Ovis aries: one gene and its partners. The protein of the gene in region 1 binds, or shares a complex with, the protein of each later gene. Links are inferred from orthologs where the notes say so. Each region holds a gene or a part of one and is shown on either strand. Other genes may lie near its edges. The genes, in order: KEAP1, PTMA, NFE2L2 and FBXL17.

The links.
Region 2: the proteins of KEAP1 (region 1) and PTMA are in contact, whole or in part, in a crystal structure (PDB 2Z32), measured with the Mus musculus proteins. The link is inferred for Ovis aries from reciprocal best matches to the Homo sapiens genes KEAP1 and PTMA. Residues at the interface, in NP_001103775.1 of Mus musculus: Tyr334, Ser363, Arg380, Asn382, Arg415, Phe478, Arg483, Ser508, Gly509, Tyr525, Gln530, Ser555, Ala556, Tyr572, Gly574, Phe577, Ser602; in NP_032998.1 of Mus musculus: Gln40, Asn41, Glu42, Glu43, Asn44, Gly45, Glu46, Gln47.
Region 3: the proteins of KEAP1 (region 1) and NFE2L2 are in contact, whole or in part, in a crystal structure (PDB 3WN7), measured with the Mus musculus proteins. The link is inferred for Ovis aries from reciprocal best matches to the Homo sapiens genes KEAP1 and NFE2L2. Residues at the interface, in NP_001103775.1 of Mus musculus: Tyr334, Ser363, Gly364, Arg380, Asn382, Pro384, Asp385, Gly386, Asn387, Asn414, Arg415, Ser431, Gly433, Cys434, His436, Ile461, Phe478, Gly480, Arg483, Ser508, Gly509, Tyr525, Gln530, Ser555, Ala556, Tyr572, Phe577, Ser602, Gly603; in NP_035032.1 of Mus musculus: Leu19, Ile22, Leu23, Arg25, Gln26, Asp27, Ile28, Asp29, Leu30, Gly31, Val32, Val36, Phe37, Phe39.
Region 4: the proteins of KEAP1 (region 1) and FBXL17 are in contact, whole or in part, in a crystal structure (PDB 6W66), measured with the Homo sapiens proteins. The link is inferred for Ovis aries from reciprocal best matches to the Homo sapiens genes KEAP1 and FBXL17. Residues at the interface, in NP_036421.2 of Homo sapiens: His59, Thr60, Ala63, Ile66, Met67, Glu69, Leu70, Gln75, Leu76, Gln82, Lys84, Ala90, His96, Val98, Ala101, Ser102, Ser103, Ser104, Pro105, Val106, Lys108, Ala109, Met110, Thr112, Asn113, Gly114, Val122, Ser124, Glu126, Gln163; in NP_001156787.2 of Homo sapiens: Asp395, Arg397, Arg421, Lys423, Asn447, Gln473, Tyr475, Met524, Arg548, Asn572, Cys574, Leu575, Trp577, Glu596, Tyr598, Val600, Ser601, Asp623, Trp626, Lys628, Tyr647, Met651, Arg652, Val676, Leu677, Asp679, Cys680, Thr683, Leu684, Arg686.

The regions. Positions count from the first base shown.
Region 1 is NC_056058.1:12,864,349-12,867,909, reverse strand, and holds part of KEAP1 (kelch-like ECH-associated protein 1), read left to right. Parts: coding exon 1-40; intron 41-3,216; coding exon 3,217-3,561. UniProt on the Homo sapiens protein: Substrate-specific adapter of a BCR (BTB-CUL3-RBX1) E3 ubiquitin ligase complex that regulates the response to oxidative stress by targeting NFE2L2/NRF2 for ubiquitination.
Region 2 is NC_056055.1:233,412,101-233,414,748, forward strand, and holds the end of PTMA (prothymosin alpha), read left to right. Parts: intron 1-60; coding exon 61-132; intron 133-400; coding exon 401-497; intron 498-1,014; coding exon 1,015-1,088; intron 1,089-1,334; coding exon 1,335-1,382; 3' UTR 1,383-2,090; downstream 2,091-2,648.
Region 3 is NC_056055.1:132,851,719-132,856,079, reverse strand, and holds the start of NFE2L2 (nuclear factor erythroid 2-related factor 2), read right to left. Parts: upstream 2,845-4,361; 5' UTR 2,697-2,844; coding exon 2,652-2,696; exon of another isoform or gene 2,302-2,651; intron 2,167-2,301; exon of another isoform or gene 1,929-2,166; intron 1,512-1,928; exon of another isoform or gene 1,482-1,511; intron 1-1,481.
Region 4 is NC_056058.1:104,988,346-104,992,445, reverse strand, and holds the start of FBXL17 (F-box/LRR-repeat protein 17), read left to right. Parts: upstream 1-1,264; 5' UTR 1,265-1,582; coding exon 1,583-2,488; intron 2,489-2,602; exon of another isoform or gene 2,603-2,699; intron 2,700-2,854; exon of another isoform or gene 2,855-3,061; intron 3,062-4,100. UniProt on the Homo sapiens protein: Substrate-recognition component of the SCF(FBXL17) E3 ubiquitin ligase complex, a key component of a quality control pathway required to ensure functional dimerization of BTB domain-containing proteins (dimerization quality control, DQC).

The DNA of each region.
Region 1 (3,561 bases):
CCAGCGTGCCCGGGAATACATCTACATGCACTTTGGGGAGGTGAGTGAGGGATGGGGACATGGCACCAGGGCTTCAGAGCAGCCTTGGAGGGCCAGGAAACAGACAGGTGGTCATCACCATCTCCCCTTGAGAGGTGAAGGATCAAGGCAAGGAGATGGAGAAAAGTAGGGTTGAGCTCCCAGTCTAGATGTCTGTGACAAATCTAGGAAACAGCTGAAGAAAGTGAGACTGTCATGGATGTCTGGGCTCCCTGGGGTCAAAGGTGGGGACAGAGGGCAGTGACTCTGACAGCAGTTCCACCGTAGGCTGCCCTGAGCAGGGCCTGACGTTCCAGGCAGTCAGTAAATATTTATTGAACACCCGTGACATGCTGTCAATGGCCAGTGTGACCCTTACACTGTGGTGGTTTTCTTTAGTCCACAGAGTATTGTGCTCAGACTAATCTTTGTTTCATTTTCATTTTCAAGTGGAGGAAGTTGTGAGTAGAGAACATGAGTGCTTGTTGAGTACTTGGTGTGGGCCAGCCTCTGTTCTAAGTGATTTCCAGCCTTTAAATCTGAGTCTTCCCAGCTATCCTAGGAGGAGGTATGCTTTGGAGTGCCTTCCTGGATTTTTTTTTTTTGCTACACCACACAGCTTGCAGGATCTTAGTTCCCTGACCAGGGATGGAACCCTGGTCCTGGCAGTGAAAGCCCTGAGTCCCAACCACTGGACCACCAGGGAACTCCCCCCTTCTGGAAATTTTTAAAATCATCCTCCCGTGGCTGGGACCAGCTAGGTGGACACTACCCTTGGTCTCTGTGCCTCTCCTTCTCTACCATCTTGGGGGTTGACCAGATGCCCCAAGAAGCTCTGACATTAGTCTTAGGACTTATGGCTTCCAGGATGGTGGCCCAAGAACAGGGTTGTCCCACTGACCTGCACAACAGTAGTGTCAAGGGGTTGTCTCGGCTTGAGGTAACAGGAAGCTGGGATCCCGCTGATGTGGGGTGACAAATTATTTATATAGACCAGTGCCACATAAGAAATATTTACCTTAGCAATAACCCTGCTAGGAGTTAGCGACTAATATAATCCTCCTTTTATAGAGGAAGAAAACCAAGGCACGGAGTGTTTTAGGTTTTTGCCCAAGGTGGTACAATTAGAAGGTAGTGGGCCAACACTGCAACTCAGGCTGCTTTCTTCAAGCCTGAATTTTATTTTCTTTCTAACATACTGTGTTGCTATTTCCTTTGACGGAGAAGGCAATGGCACCCCAGTCCAGTATTCTTGCCTGGCAAATCCCATGGATGGAGGACCCTGGCAGGCTGCAGTCCATGGGGTCGCTGAGAGTTGGACACGACTCAGTGACTTCACTTTCACTTTTCACTTTCATGCATCGGAGAAGGAAATGGCAACCAACTCCAGTGTTCTTGCCTGGAGAACCCCAGGGACGGGGGAGCCTGGTGGGCTGCCGTCTATGGGGTCTCACAGAGTCAGACACGACTGAAGTGATTTAGCAGCAGCAGCATTTCCTTTGAAGTCAGTCTGCTCTTTTGAAAAAATAATTTCATTAAAAAAAGAAAGGGGCAACATTCTTACAGTTCAGATACAAAATGATACAGAATCTAAGAGGTGACGTTGTTTCTTTTTCTCATTTATGTGCTTACCTGCTATGTGCCTGGCATGTAGTGTTAACTCCTTGAATTCTCACACACTGAGAGTTCCGTGCTATTCAAATGCCTGTTTCTTTTCTTTAAATTTTATTTCTTTGTGGCTGTGCTGGGTCTTCGTTGCTGCTCATAGGCTTTCTCTAGTTGCAGTGAGCAGGGCCTTTTCTCTAATTGCGCTGTGCAGGCTCCTCAGTGCAGTGGCTTCTCTTGTGGAGCACGGGCTCTAGAGCAAGAGCTCAAGATTACGGCACATGGGCTTAGTTGCCCCAAGGCATGCGGTATCTTCCCCGTCTAGGGATCAAACCTGTGTCCCCTGCATTGGCAGGTGGATTCTTAATCACTGGACCACCAGGGAAGTCCCTCAAATGCCTATTTCACACCTGAGGAAGCTGAGTTAGCAGAGGCAGATTGAGTGTCTTGTCCAAGGTCCTGGCAGGGGCTTGGCAAGGGGCTGGGGGGTATGTGTCGGGGTCCAGCCCCAGCAGGATCCGGGGTTCCCTCAGGATGGACGGCATTGGAGAGAGAGAGAGAGAGAGAGACGGGGAAACCAAGCTTAGGTGGAACAGGTCTGTAACTTTATTTTTAAAAAGAGCTTTCATACCTTGGGTTGTACATAGAGGGGGATGGAAGATGCAGAGTCATGCAGGGTCAGCAGTTCTGACCCTTATTGAAACCAGGCTTTCTTTCTGCATACCTTTCTATATACAAAGGTCTTATGTGATTTACATCCTCTTCTGGCCTGGAGGCCTGTTAACATTTTATGACCCTTTTTTCTGATAAAGGTTAGTCAACTAGAAAACTTATTTTCTCTAAAAGTGTTTGTTCTAAAGTCCGGCACCACTCTCAGAAAGTACTAAATAAAGTTACATTCCTATGGGACAAAGGTGCAGTGGGTTATAACAAAGAAAAAATTTATTAACTCAAAGGTCTAATGTTGCTAACACCAAGGCTACTACTTATTTTCCCTACATACCAACTATATTAACTAGTATACTCCCAGGCACACAATGGGTAAGGGATATGGAAACTTGGCAGCAAGCACTGGCTCAACAATGAAATCCTTCACCAGCACTATTCTAATAATTTTTGCTCCTCAAAGGGCTCTATGCCTATTAGGACTTTAGAATGTTTAAGTTCCCCTGCCTTTCATGGTTGGGAAATTGTGAACAATCATGTATGTGCGTTAGTTTTAAGAGTATGGATAAACCTGCCACGCAAGTTAGAATGCTAACAGAGAGGTTTGAATTGAAATATTCCTTTCATGCCCAGGAGACTTATCAACTAGAGCCCTAAGTTGATTTTCTCCAGAGAAAGGTGGTCGGGGATAGCCCCTGTTAATGCCAGACGAGTAAGTGAAAGGCATAATATAGTAAACGGTAGACAGATTTTGTTATCTGGGTAGATGCTCGAGCAGGTCCAAGGAGTCCCTCGAGTCCTGATCCTCCTTGCCTGTCAGGTCTCTCCTCATGACCTTGTCATGGGTGGGATCTCCTGTGCTGGCTCCTGGCAGGTGGGAGTGGAGAGAGACCTTAAGTCAGCCCATGGCACTGTCGCCCTCTGCAGGTGGCCAAGCAAGAGGAATTCTTCAACCTGTCCCACTGCCAGCTGGCAACCCTCATCAGCCGGGATGACCTGAATGTGCGTTGCGAGTCTGAGGTCTTCCACGCCTGCATCAACTGGGTCAAGTATGACTGCGAGCAGCGGCGCTTCTACGTGCAGGCGCTGCTGCGGGCTGTGCGCTGCCACTCGCTCACGCCCCACTTCCTGCAGATGCAGCTGCAGAAGTGTGAGATCCTGCAGTCGGACTCCCGCTGCAAGGACTACCTGGTGAAGATCTTCCAGGAGCTCACCCTGCACAAGCCCACGCAGGTGATGCCCTGCCGGGCGCCCAAGGTGGGCCGCCTCATC
Region 2 (2,648 bases), on another chromosome or scaffold:
GCCCCTTTGCCAGCCCTAGGCTACTCAGAAGACTTACTGGTTCCCTTTTCCTTTTTGAAGGACTTAAAGGAGAAGAAGGAAGTTGTGGAGGAGGCGGAGAATGGGAGAGAGGCACCTGCCAATGGGAATGCTGTGAGTGTCTGTTGTGGTCATGACCCACCCCCCCACTCCCGGCAGCTCCTGGCCTGGAGTTCTTACTTAAGACTTTGGGCTTAATCAAGGGTCGGGCGGGGGGCTGAGGCCTTAGCCAGTTCTGTATTGGGATCTCTGGCTGGAACTTCAGGGGGCATCTCTCCGGGGGTCTGTTCTGTAGAAGCCCAGGGTAGGGTCTGGAAGAAGTGATGTTGGGGGCAGAGTGATGTTCTGTCCTCATCAACAAGCTGCTCTGCTTTCTGTCGAGGAGAATGAGGAAAATGGGGAGCAGGAGGCTGACAACGAGGTAGACGAAGAAGAGGAGGAAGGTGGGGAGGAAGAGGAGGAGGAGGAGGAAGGTGATGGTGAGTAGCTTTGTTCCTCTAGTACCTTCTGGTCTTCCTAGCAGATGGGGAGGGACTGGGGTCTTCCTGGGGGGTGGCAGGTCCAAGGCACCACCTCCAACTGGGCTTATAGCCACAAAGCCAGCATCTTTCTCACTTTAGGCTAGTGACTGTGGGGCTGTGCCCCTAGCACCACACTCAACGCCCACTGGAGAGTGCCCTCCATGCCCTGATCAGTTGGTTGGTGGGGCTTCTCTGGTTTCGCTTGGGTCTTACCTCTGATGATAAGCTGCCCGTGATGGGCAGTGTGGGTGCAGTGACTGCCCAGCTTGTCAGGCAGCAGAGATGGCTCAGCGGCACTCAACCCTGGTTACTCTGTTGCTGGAGATTGCCCAAGGAGCTGCAGTTTTCCTGTCATCGTGTCCACCCCCCCACCCTACCTGTTGCTGCCTGCCACTGAGTGGGAGAGTCCCAGGACCCACTGTGCCCGGTTAGTTGAGGAAGGCAGAGTGGTTTACTTGGGCTTTGTTCTCACCAGGTGAGGAAGAGGACGGAGATGAAGATGAGGAGGCTGAGGCAGCTACGGGCAAACGGGCAGCTGAAGATGACGAGGTGGGTCTGGTCTGGCTTGAGTTGGGCCAGAGGGCTGGGATCTGAGACACTAACACTGGAGGGCTTGATGGGGCTTAAAAGTGGTCATAAGGTGCGGGGTGTGGTCCTTCTCCTCTTGAGCTGGAGTGGGAACAGGGGCCTATGGGACCGCGCATGCCTGGTTTTAGTTTGGCCCTTAGGAGCTCAGCCAGTGGGTGGGTGGGCCCAGGGGATTGGAAGAGACCTTGACAATCCTTCCCTTCCCAGGATGACGATGTGGATACCAAGAAGCAGAAGACTGATGAGGATGACTAGACAGCAAAAAAGGAAAAGTTAAACTTAAAAAAAAAAAAAAAAAGGCCGCCGTGACCTATTCACCCTCCACTTCCCGTCTCAGAATCTAAACGTGGTCACCTTCGAGTAGAGAGTCCCGCCCGCCCGCCCCTGGCGGGCAGCGCCACCCACAGACGACAGCGCTCTCCACCACCCAACCAAAACCACAACGTGAATTTGCAACAGGGGAGGAAAAAGAAAGAACCAAAACTTCCAAGGCCCTGCTTTTTTTCTTAAAGTACTTTAAAAAGGAAAATTTGTTTGTATTTTTTATTTACATTTTATATTTTTGTACATATTGTTAGGGGTCAGCCATTTTTAATGATCTCGGATGACCAAACCAGCCTTCGGAGCGTTCTCTGTCCTACTCTGACTTTACTTGTGGTGTGACCATGTTCATTATAATCTCAAAGGAGAAAAAAAACCTTGTAAAAAAAGCAAAAACAACAACAAAAAAAAACAATCTTATTCCGAGCATTCCAGTAACTTTTTTTGTGTATGTACTTAGCTGTACTATAAGTAGTTGGTTTGTATGAGATGGTTAAAAAGGCCAAAGATAAAAGGTTTCTTTTTTTTCCTTTTTTTGTCTATGAAGTTGCTGTTTATTTTTTTGGCCTGTTTGATGTATGTGTGAAACAATGTTGTCCAACAATAAACCGGAATTTTATTTTGCTGAGTTGTTCTAACAAAGCTGTCTCAGGCCTGGTTTTTCTGTATTGGTTTCTTTAGGCTTTCTCCAGAGGGGCAGGGGCAAGAAGAGGGGAGGATCTTGAACCTGCTGTCCTTCCTGGGGACAGTGGGTTGGAGACCTCAGTTGGGAGAGGTGTGCCCCTTGGCACCAGGGTCTGGTGGGTGGCCATCCTGTAGTCAAGTACTGAGCTGCAACTGGCTAATGGGGACATGATGGAGCACTATAGAGCTATGGGCTGAAGGGGGAGCCACTTACCAGCTTCATCCCTTCCTAGGATTGTAGTGAGAGCATCTACACTGAAATTGTTTAACCCAGTTTCATTAGAAATCTGCCGACACCTCTATAGGCTGGGGGAACAAGCTACATGCGGGGCTGCCCTCTGGATCCAGGAGGTGGGGTAGGGGGTTGTCCAGGCCCAAGTGAAAACTCAGGGCCAAAGATCCCAGAGATGCCACCTCCCTGTGGGACAGCTGCTAGCTGTGCCCTTCACCTCAAAGGCCTCACTGGATTATCCTGGCCACTGAGTGGCTCCCCCTGGTGGTGACACGTGGCACCTT
Region 3 (4,361 bases), on another chromosome or scaffold:
CTTCTAGCCCACAGAGGTTTCTTTTTCTCATGTAGCTCTGTAAGTAAAATTCGTGTATTTAGCTTTCAATTCTTCCTGATTATCCTAAAGAAAGTCAGATTTTGGGGTTTCCCCTCCCAGCACTGTTTATAAAAACCCAAGTTGACAAGAAAGAGTCCAAAATGGCCCATGCTACTTTTAATGCAGACTGATGTGAGTTACGTTTTTATCCTACTACAATCTTTCACAATCTCTCAAGAGGTTTTTTTCCAAATATCTAAAAAGTCAAGTTGTTCTTTGCTCAACCTTCTGGAGATGAGAGGGAGGCCTTATTTTTCTTTGGAAGTTACCTACCTAGTCCAAGATCAACTTCATTCCTCATATGCAAAAATACTTTCTCCAAGACAGCTTTGAAAAGGGTAGATGATTCCTTCCAGAAGCTAATGGAAATTCAGAATGTAAAACTCTACTGCTCTTCATCAACACCTCCTTTGCACAAAGGGGGAAGAACTTTTACCCCCGTACCACCTCCTGCCTGGTGTTTCTTTGACAAGAGGTTAGAATCCACTTATGACTCTGTCCAAATCTTCCTGGACTACAAAGATTTAATATGAATCTTAGTTACAGGCATGACATTAACTCTAAATTTTATTCCATTTTCTTTTATACTCTTCGCATATGCAAACTGAGGTCTGATTACAAAGGGTGGAAAGGGAGTTACCTTAACAAACATAATTGGAAAGTTCACATTTAAAAGAAAAAGCAGTAAAGATGTTTACCCACTTTTGTATATGGAATGGTAAATTATATAGTTAAGAAAGAAATAAAAACTTCAGTAATATACCCCTCTAGGCTACATTCCTGAATCTGGGAAAACTAGAGTCCATTAGCATCATATATCCTTTGGTCATATAGATTATTAAAGAAATGGCTATAGGGACTGAACAGCAGCTGAATCGGAAAGCACAATTTATTTCTTCATATCGTGGGGAGGAAGGAACACAGTCTTAATCACTACTGGGGGAAAGTTCAAGACAACAGCTTCCAAGGGAAAAAAAAGGCACAATCACTACATTGTCAATATATCAAAACCTTACTTCAGGATTAGTCTAAAGCTTGATGTTTAAGAGCTTAAATATATTTACCGTTCCTATTAGGTTACACATTTCCTTGAACTAAATATTTTTCCAAAAAACGCATTCACACGCACAAATTGGAAATAAAACTATCTACTCCTTTAAAAAGTCCCTACAAAATATACACAGAAACTTGTTCCCACATTTGCGACATTTACAGAACTTGTTAGCGAAGTTTTATGAGACACAGCTGTCCCACCCTCTGCCCTCTCAAAAGCAACATACTAGGAAAGCAATTGAGGCAAATTCTCAAACAGAAAAGGAAAACTACATAAAGCACCCAAAAGAGAAACAATGTATGAAAGCGCAACATTTAGTAACAGCCTAAAAACAACAGAAATGCTAATCTACACTCGAAATTCTTACCCTTGACAGCAGAGAACAGAATATCCTGCCTTACACATTTTGGAATTGCAATTCCGAAACGCTAAATCCAAAGACAAAGCCGCCCTAGGGAAAATAACAATTGCGCAACAGATCAACAGCTCCAACTTGTCCCTTGGCCCCGGCGCGGCAAGGTTTGCACGCTACAAAGCAGGAAAGGGCCCACTGAGGGCCGCCGTGACAGCCAACCGGCCACTGTCACGGCGCCGGGACGACGCTCGCGGCGTGCGCCACCGGGAAGCACAGCGCCGGGATCGAGAAGCCCCGGGGAGCTGGGGTGGGGTGGGGGGCGAAGGCCCGTCGGACTTCAGAGTCCACCGCCCCACCCGCCCTTGCCGGCGTATTGCTAGGGGCCGACTCAGAGTTCTAAGAGCCCGAACCCTTCCCTCGGGGCGAGGCGGCGCGCAGGGCAGGGTTCGATCGCCGTACGTCGGGGAAACCGAGTGCGCTGGGCGCTTGGTGACCTCCTCCTGCCCCCACCCTGGGAGCTGGGCATTTTCGCCAAGCGGCCTCAGGGCGATCGCAAGGCTGGAGTGATTGATCACTCTGCCTAAGAGAACCCTCAGCAGGGTAAGAGCGCCGCGGCTCGCGCCCGCGGAGGTCTTGAGCAGAGGAGCAGCGGCAGAGGAGGGGTTCCGGGTCCCAGCCCGGAGACCTCAGTTCCCCCGAGAGTGGCCCCGTGACTAGGCACATTTTTGCCGGCTCCGAGGCGGGGGAGCCGCGCAGCCCCGGAAGGGCCGGGCCGCGCCGGCTCAGACCGCCAGTGTCCGCCCTCTCCTACCCGGTTGCCTCCCGGCCGCTCAAACTCGGAGAGGGGGCCGGCCGCGGCTCCAGCATCTCGGCTCCGGCGACCGGGGACGCGGTTAGAGACGCACTTCGCCCCCACGCGCGCTGGCGTAGCCCCCCAACCCCAACCCTACCGCCCTCGGGGGCTGCGGGCGCGTTGTCAGTCACACCATTCCCCGCGCCCCCATACCCCTCGCAGCCCTTGGGGTCGCCACTCCCCTCCCCCGGCCCCAGCTCAAGCGCGGCGGCTCTGGTGTGTGCGCGGCAGCTGCAGTCCGCTCCGGCCACAGACGGGGAAAGAGGCCGATGCGGCTGTCCCTCCCGGGCCGCGGCTCCCTCGCGCCCCTGCTCCCGTCCTGGCACCACCTGCTGGGACGGCAGTCCCGGCGGGGGCAGCTCCAAGTCCATCATGCTGAGCTGGGGACGGTGCTTTGAGGCTCCCCGACGGCGGCCCTGTTCCGGCTGCCGAGGCTTGGAGCGGACACGGCGGTACTGGTGGCGGCGGCGGCTCCTGGGGGATCCTAGGAACTCGCTTCTCCCTGACTTGGCCGGAGTCGCCGATCGGGCTCTTGTCCCGCTCCGCCTCCCGCCCCGCGAGGGCGGGGCGAGAGCCCAAGGCCCTTCCTTCCCCAGCCAGCCGCCCGGGCCGACCTTCCGAAAATCCCCCACCCTCGCCGGGCTGACGCAAGAAGCTGGCCGTCCTGGGGCGGGAAAGAGTTGCGGGCGGGGGTCTCAGGGGCGGCTGCGGGCAGGCAGAGTGCCGGAGGAAGGCCCCCGAAGCTCGCCTGCCTCCGCTGTCAGTTTGCCCTTCTAGCGAATACGGCCATCGCTCCCCGCCCGTGGGATTGAGTTGTTTGCCGAAGGTCGCTGGGGTTCGGGTGCTTTGAAACAGTTTAAACAGTTGAAACAAACATGCTTGGAGACTCGGCAAAGGCGATGGTATCGGAGCTGCGCCTCCCTGCTTTGGATTTGCAGAACCTTGCCCGGCTTTCTCTCTCCCCACCGCCCGAGAGTGGCGCCAGCCCGGGGGGTGGGGGCCGGAAGCCGGGACCTGGGCCCAGCTCACGGCGAGCTGCCCTCTCGCTCCGGCTCAGCCAGTGAGACTGGCCCGGGGGAAGAGTGGACCGCGCGGGGAGCTCGTGCTCGGTCACCCTGATCGCCCTCCACTTACTCCCACGCCTTGCACTCTGGCCAGGCTTCAGTCCCCGAGGGCGAATGGAGAAGTCTCTTTGGATCGGAGAGTGGTCGAGCTTGCCCATCCGGAGCATTCTCTTCCCACCAGAGTGCACACGCCACACCATAGATGGCGATTTTTAACCCTGTTCGATATTACAAACGTGTCATAACCTCTAGAAGTTTTCACGTACTCAAGATACGATTTTAAAAACAAAAACGCAAAAAACAAGTTATAAAACTGTGTAGTATGGACCCGTTCTGTGAAAGCATGTACCTAGAAAAAAAAAAGTTCTTCAAAATATTACTAGTAATATTAATAGTTGCAGGACCTTGAATGATTTTTATCTCTTTGTTACTTTAAGTATGTTTTAAATCTACGATAAATGTGTATTATTCACTGCACCTTAAAAACAATTATTTAAAAAGTAGTCAGTGCCCAGAGCAAACTTCAAGTACTTGAAAACAGGAATATTGTGAAATCTTATGATTTAAAAAAGAATAGAGAAATGGTTTAGTTTTGTTTTCTCTTATGCAACAGCACTCTTTCTAGCTCTTTAACAAGCCTGATTTTCAGTTTATCACTTCTTCGAATTATGCAAAACCAGGTGGAGTAGACAGTGTCTGGCACTGGTTTTACTATTTCATTCAAAAACCTGACGCCAAAAAAAGAAAAAGAAAACCATAAAAGCCTGACTACAGCAGACCAACGCCCCCAAAGCTGCAAAGAACTTACTTTCTCTTGGTTGCGTAATTTGACCCTCCCAGGACTTACCTGTTGATTTATATGTTGGAATATTTCTTAAGGTAAGTGAAGCCTAAATTAATTGCCTGTAATTGAAGTAAGTTTCTTCAATTTGAATTAAACTTTCAGCTGTTAAGTGAGAAGGCTGCAAAATGATC
Region 4 (4,100 bases), about 92 Mb from region 1:
AGCCATGAAATTAAAAGACATTTGCTCCTTTGAAGAAAAGCTATGACCAACCTAGACAGCATATTAAAAAACAGAGCCATCACTTTGCCAACAAAGGTCCGTCTAGACAAAGCTATGGTTTTTCCAGTAGTCATGTATGAATGTGCGAGTTGGACCATAAAGAAAGCTGAGCACCGAAGAATTGATGCTTTTGAACTGTGGTGTTGAAGACTCTTGAGAGTCCCTTGGATTGCAAGGAGATCTAACGAGTCAATCCTAAAGGAAATCAGTCCTGAATATTCATCGGAAGGACTGGTGTTGAAGCTGAAAGTCTAATACTTTGGCCACCTGAGTGAAGAAGTGACTCACTGGAAAATAACCTGATGCTGGGAAAGACTGAAGGTGGGAGGAGAAGGGGACGACAGAGGATGAGATGGTTGGATGGCATCACCGACTCAATGGACATGGGTTTAGGTGAACTCGGGGAGCTGGTGATGGACAGGGAGGCCTGGTGTGCTGCGGTTTATGCGGTCGCAAAGAGTCGGACACGACTGAGCGACTGAATTGAAATTACCTGATAAGTGCGTTTATCCTGAAATGCACTTAGGGAAAGCCGGTCCGTCCCTAGCAACAGGTGTCCGCAGACAAGCGCAGAAACACGGCAGAGCCGGTCCACCCGTGAGTCCCTCGCGGGAGAACCATTCTCGCGGAGAGCACGCCGGGCACCCGGGCTGGCCTCGGGCGGGACCGGGTCTCCTCAGCGGCCTCGGCGTCCGGTCGGGCGGTGAGAGCGCCGGTTCCCGGCCAATGGCGGTTCCCGAACGTGCGCCTAGCGACGTCAGCGCGACTGTGCCCACGGACGTCACCCGACGAGCTCGGAGGCGGCTCCCCCCGGTCCCACGAAGGGGGCGTGGGCTCCGGGAGACCGCGGGCGACGGGGACAGGGGGCGGTGAGCCCGCACCCGTGACGGCGGGCCCGGCCGAGCGGCCCTCAGGGGGCGAGCGGCCACGCGCGCCGCCGAGGCCCCGCCCCCTTCCCGATCGGCCACACCCCCTTCCCGAGCGGGCCGCGCGCTCCCGAGCCGCCCCCCCGCCGCTGAGGCCCCGCTCCCTCCCCGATCCGGCCGCGCGCTCCCGCTTCGCCTCCCCGCACGCGCCTCCGCCGCGGCCCCGCCCCTTCCCGCTCGGGCCGCGCGCTCCCGCTCCGCCTCCCCGCGCGCGCCTCCGCCGCGGCCCCGCCCCCTTCCCGCTCGGGCCGCGCGCTCCCGGCGCGCCGAGCTGTGCCGCGGGCGCGCGCGCCGCCGCCGGCAGAGCCGCCGTTAAAGTGGTCTGAGGCGCGCCCCGCGCTTCCCCCGCCGCCGCCCTGACCAACTGAGGCGGCGGCCCAGGCTGCGAGCAGCCGCGCGGTCAGCAGGCTCGCCGGCCTCCGTCGGGTCCCAAGAGCTCGCGCCCCGCCGTGGTCTCCCGGCGTCCCGGGGCAGAGCATGTAGCCCCCCAGCGCCGCGTGTGTGCCCGTGTGTGTGTGTGCCCGCGTGTGCCCGCGGGCCCGAGGCCGACCCCCGCGCGGCCTGCCCTGACCCGGCCCCTGCGCGGGGCCTCCCCTATGGGCCTCCTGCTCTCGAAGGAGCCGCGCCGCCGCCCGCGCCAGAAGCGGCCCCGCTGCGGCAGCTGGTGGCGCCGCCGCCGCCGGCCTCTCCTCAGGTGGCCCCGCGGGGCCCCGGCCAAGGCGGCGGCGGCGCCCCGGGGCCGGGACTGCCTCTTCCGCGGGCCCTGCATGCTCTGCCTCGTCGTGCACGGCCCCGGCGCGCCCGCCCCCGCCGGCCCGGAGGAGGAGCCGCCGCTGTCGTCGCCGCGGCCGCTCGGGGCCTACGGCGCGGCCGCCTCCTCACAGCCCCCGGCGCGGCGCCGCGCGGGCCTGGCCGCTGAGGACGCCGCGCGCCGCCTTCTGCTCTCGGCCGCCGCCGCCGTCGCCGCGCCGCCCGCCCCCGGCCGCGGGGAGCTGGGGCCGGCCGCCGCCGCCGCCCGGGAGCGGCCGGCCCGGAGCCTCCTGTGGGCCCGCGCGGGGCCCGTGCGTCCGCCCGCGCCGCCCGCCGCCTCGCGGCTCTTCCGGGCGCCGCCGGCCGAGCCCCCTGCGCCCCCCGAGATGGTGTGCAAGCGGAAGGGGGCCGGGGTCCCCGCCTGCACCCCCTGTAAGCAGCCCCGCTGCGGCGGGGGCGCCTGCGGCGGAGGCGGCGGCGGCGGCGGGCCTGCGGGCGGCGGCCCCGAGCAGCACCCCCCGCCGCCGCTCCGCGCCCCGCGCTCCCCCGCCGCTCCGGGAGGGGCCCCCGCGGAGGCCGGCGGGGACGCGGTCCGAGCGGGGGGCGCCGCCCCCTCGGTCGCCCGGCAGCAGCAGCACGAGTGCGGCGACGCCGACTGTCCGGAGGGCCCCGATCCGCCGTGCGACTGCCACAGGGAGCCGCCCCCCGACGCCCCGGACATCAACCAGCTGCCGCCCTCCATCCTGCTTAAGGTGGGTCTGCGTGCCCCCCACCCCCCGCCGGGCCCGCTCGGGGGTTCTCTCTGCTGCACGCCCCGCGGGGGGGCCTCCCTGACACCCGGTTATTTCAGGTGCAGGGGCTTGGAGTCCGCTGAAGGTCCTTTTAATCGCTTGGGTCTGCTGCGCGTAATCCCGGTTCACCTAGGAGAGTCCCAAGCCCACTGTTGTAGAAACTGTAGGTTTTCTGTGAAAAAAAAAAAGAAAAAAAAAATTTTTTTTTTTTTAATCCCTTGAGCGGTTTGCACTTAACCGAGTAAAGACTTGTATATTAGTGTTGGAAAGTGTTCAGACAGTAATTTCAGATTTGATAACTGCTAGCTGATGTCAAAAAACAGTTACCTTTTATCTATCGAGCACTTGACCACGATGATCAGGCACAGTGCCAGAGCTTTATATACATAATATCTCACCGAATCCTTCAGTTGACGCCATGAAAGAAATATTGTTAACATCTTTACACAAGAAGAAACCGATGTATCAGCGCAAGTGCCTACAGTCGAAAGTCAGGCCGACGTGGTGTGTGTTCCTGTGGAGCTTACAGGCCAGCGGTGCTTCAAGGGGCTGAATGACTTGCCCAAGGTCACACACAGACAGATCTGCGGAGTTTAGGCCTGTCTGACTTGAAAACCCTTTTATTTATGCTATGTTCTATTATCTTAGGTAATGCAGACAGATTACCAGACGGTAAGGACAAGTGTATTTTTTGTTGGGGGGATACGTGTGTGGGGAAGAGGTAGATATCCCGTGGAAACCTGGTCCCACTTTCAGCTACCAAGTAAAATTTGCAGTTTTGTCAAGCAGCAGCAGCAGTGATGAATTTAAGTACGTGATACTTTGTAGTAAGTTAGTATTAAAAAGTTTCTTTTCCGTTCATTTTCTCTCCTCTCTCACCCCCACACTGCAGCTTTCTGGAGCTTATAAATATAAACCCCCTTTATCACTGTGGATGATATTTAAGACTAACTAGAAAAACCTAGATAAGAATTTGGCTAGTTTTATTGTTATTGAAGTAGCTGTCATCAATTATAATTTTTATTCTGAACAATATACTTTGATTGGACTTTTTGCATGTTTATAATCCTGTGTGCTTGGATTTGTTTTACTGTGATATTAATATTTTTGTAAATAATATAGCAAAGAACTGGGAAAGCTTAACTTTTCCACATGTCCAAGAGGATGAGATGGTTGGATGGCATCACCGACTCAATGGACTTGAGTCTGAGTGAACTCCGGTAGTTGGTGATGGACAGGGAGGCCTGGCGTGCTGTGGTTCATGGGGTCACAGAGTCAGACACGACTGAGCAACTGAACTGAAGTTGTTTACCTTTCAGTAGTGTATTTTTGAAGGAGTAATTACTGCCTCTGTATGTTCAGGCTGTGCATTTTAGGGCAGAGGGAATGTTCTTGAATCTTTTAACTTAGTGGACAACATGGACAAATGAAATATCCACAGATATTTGGCATAGAGGTTTGATTGCTGTCTTGTTATTTGGTAAGTAAGACTGTTTAAAAACAAAGTAAAAAGCAGATACTTCCCACTTTCTACCTAAACTGTCATTATTTCATGAGGTAGAGGACATTTTAA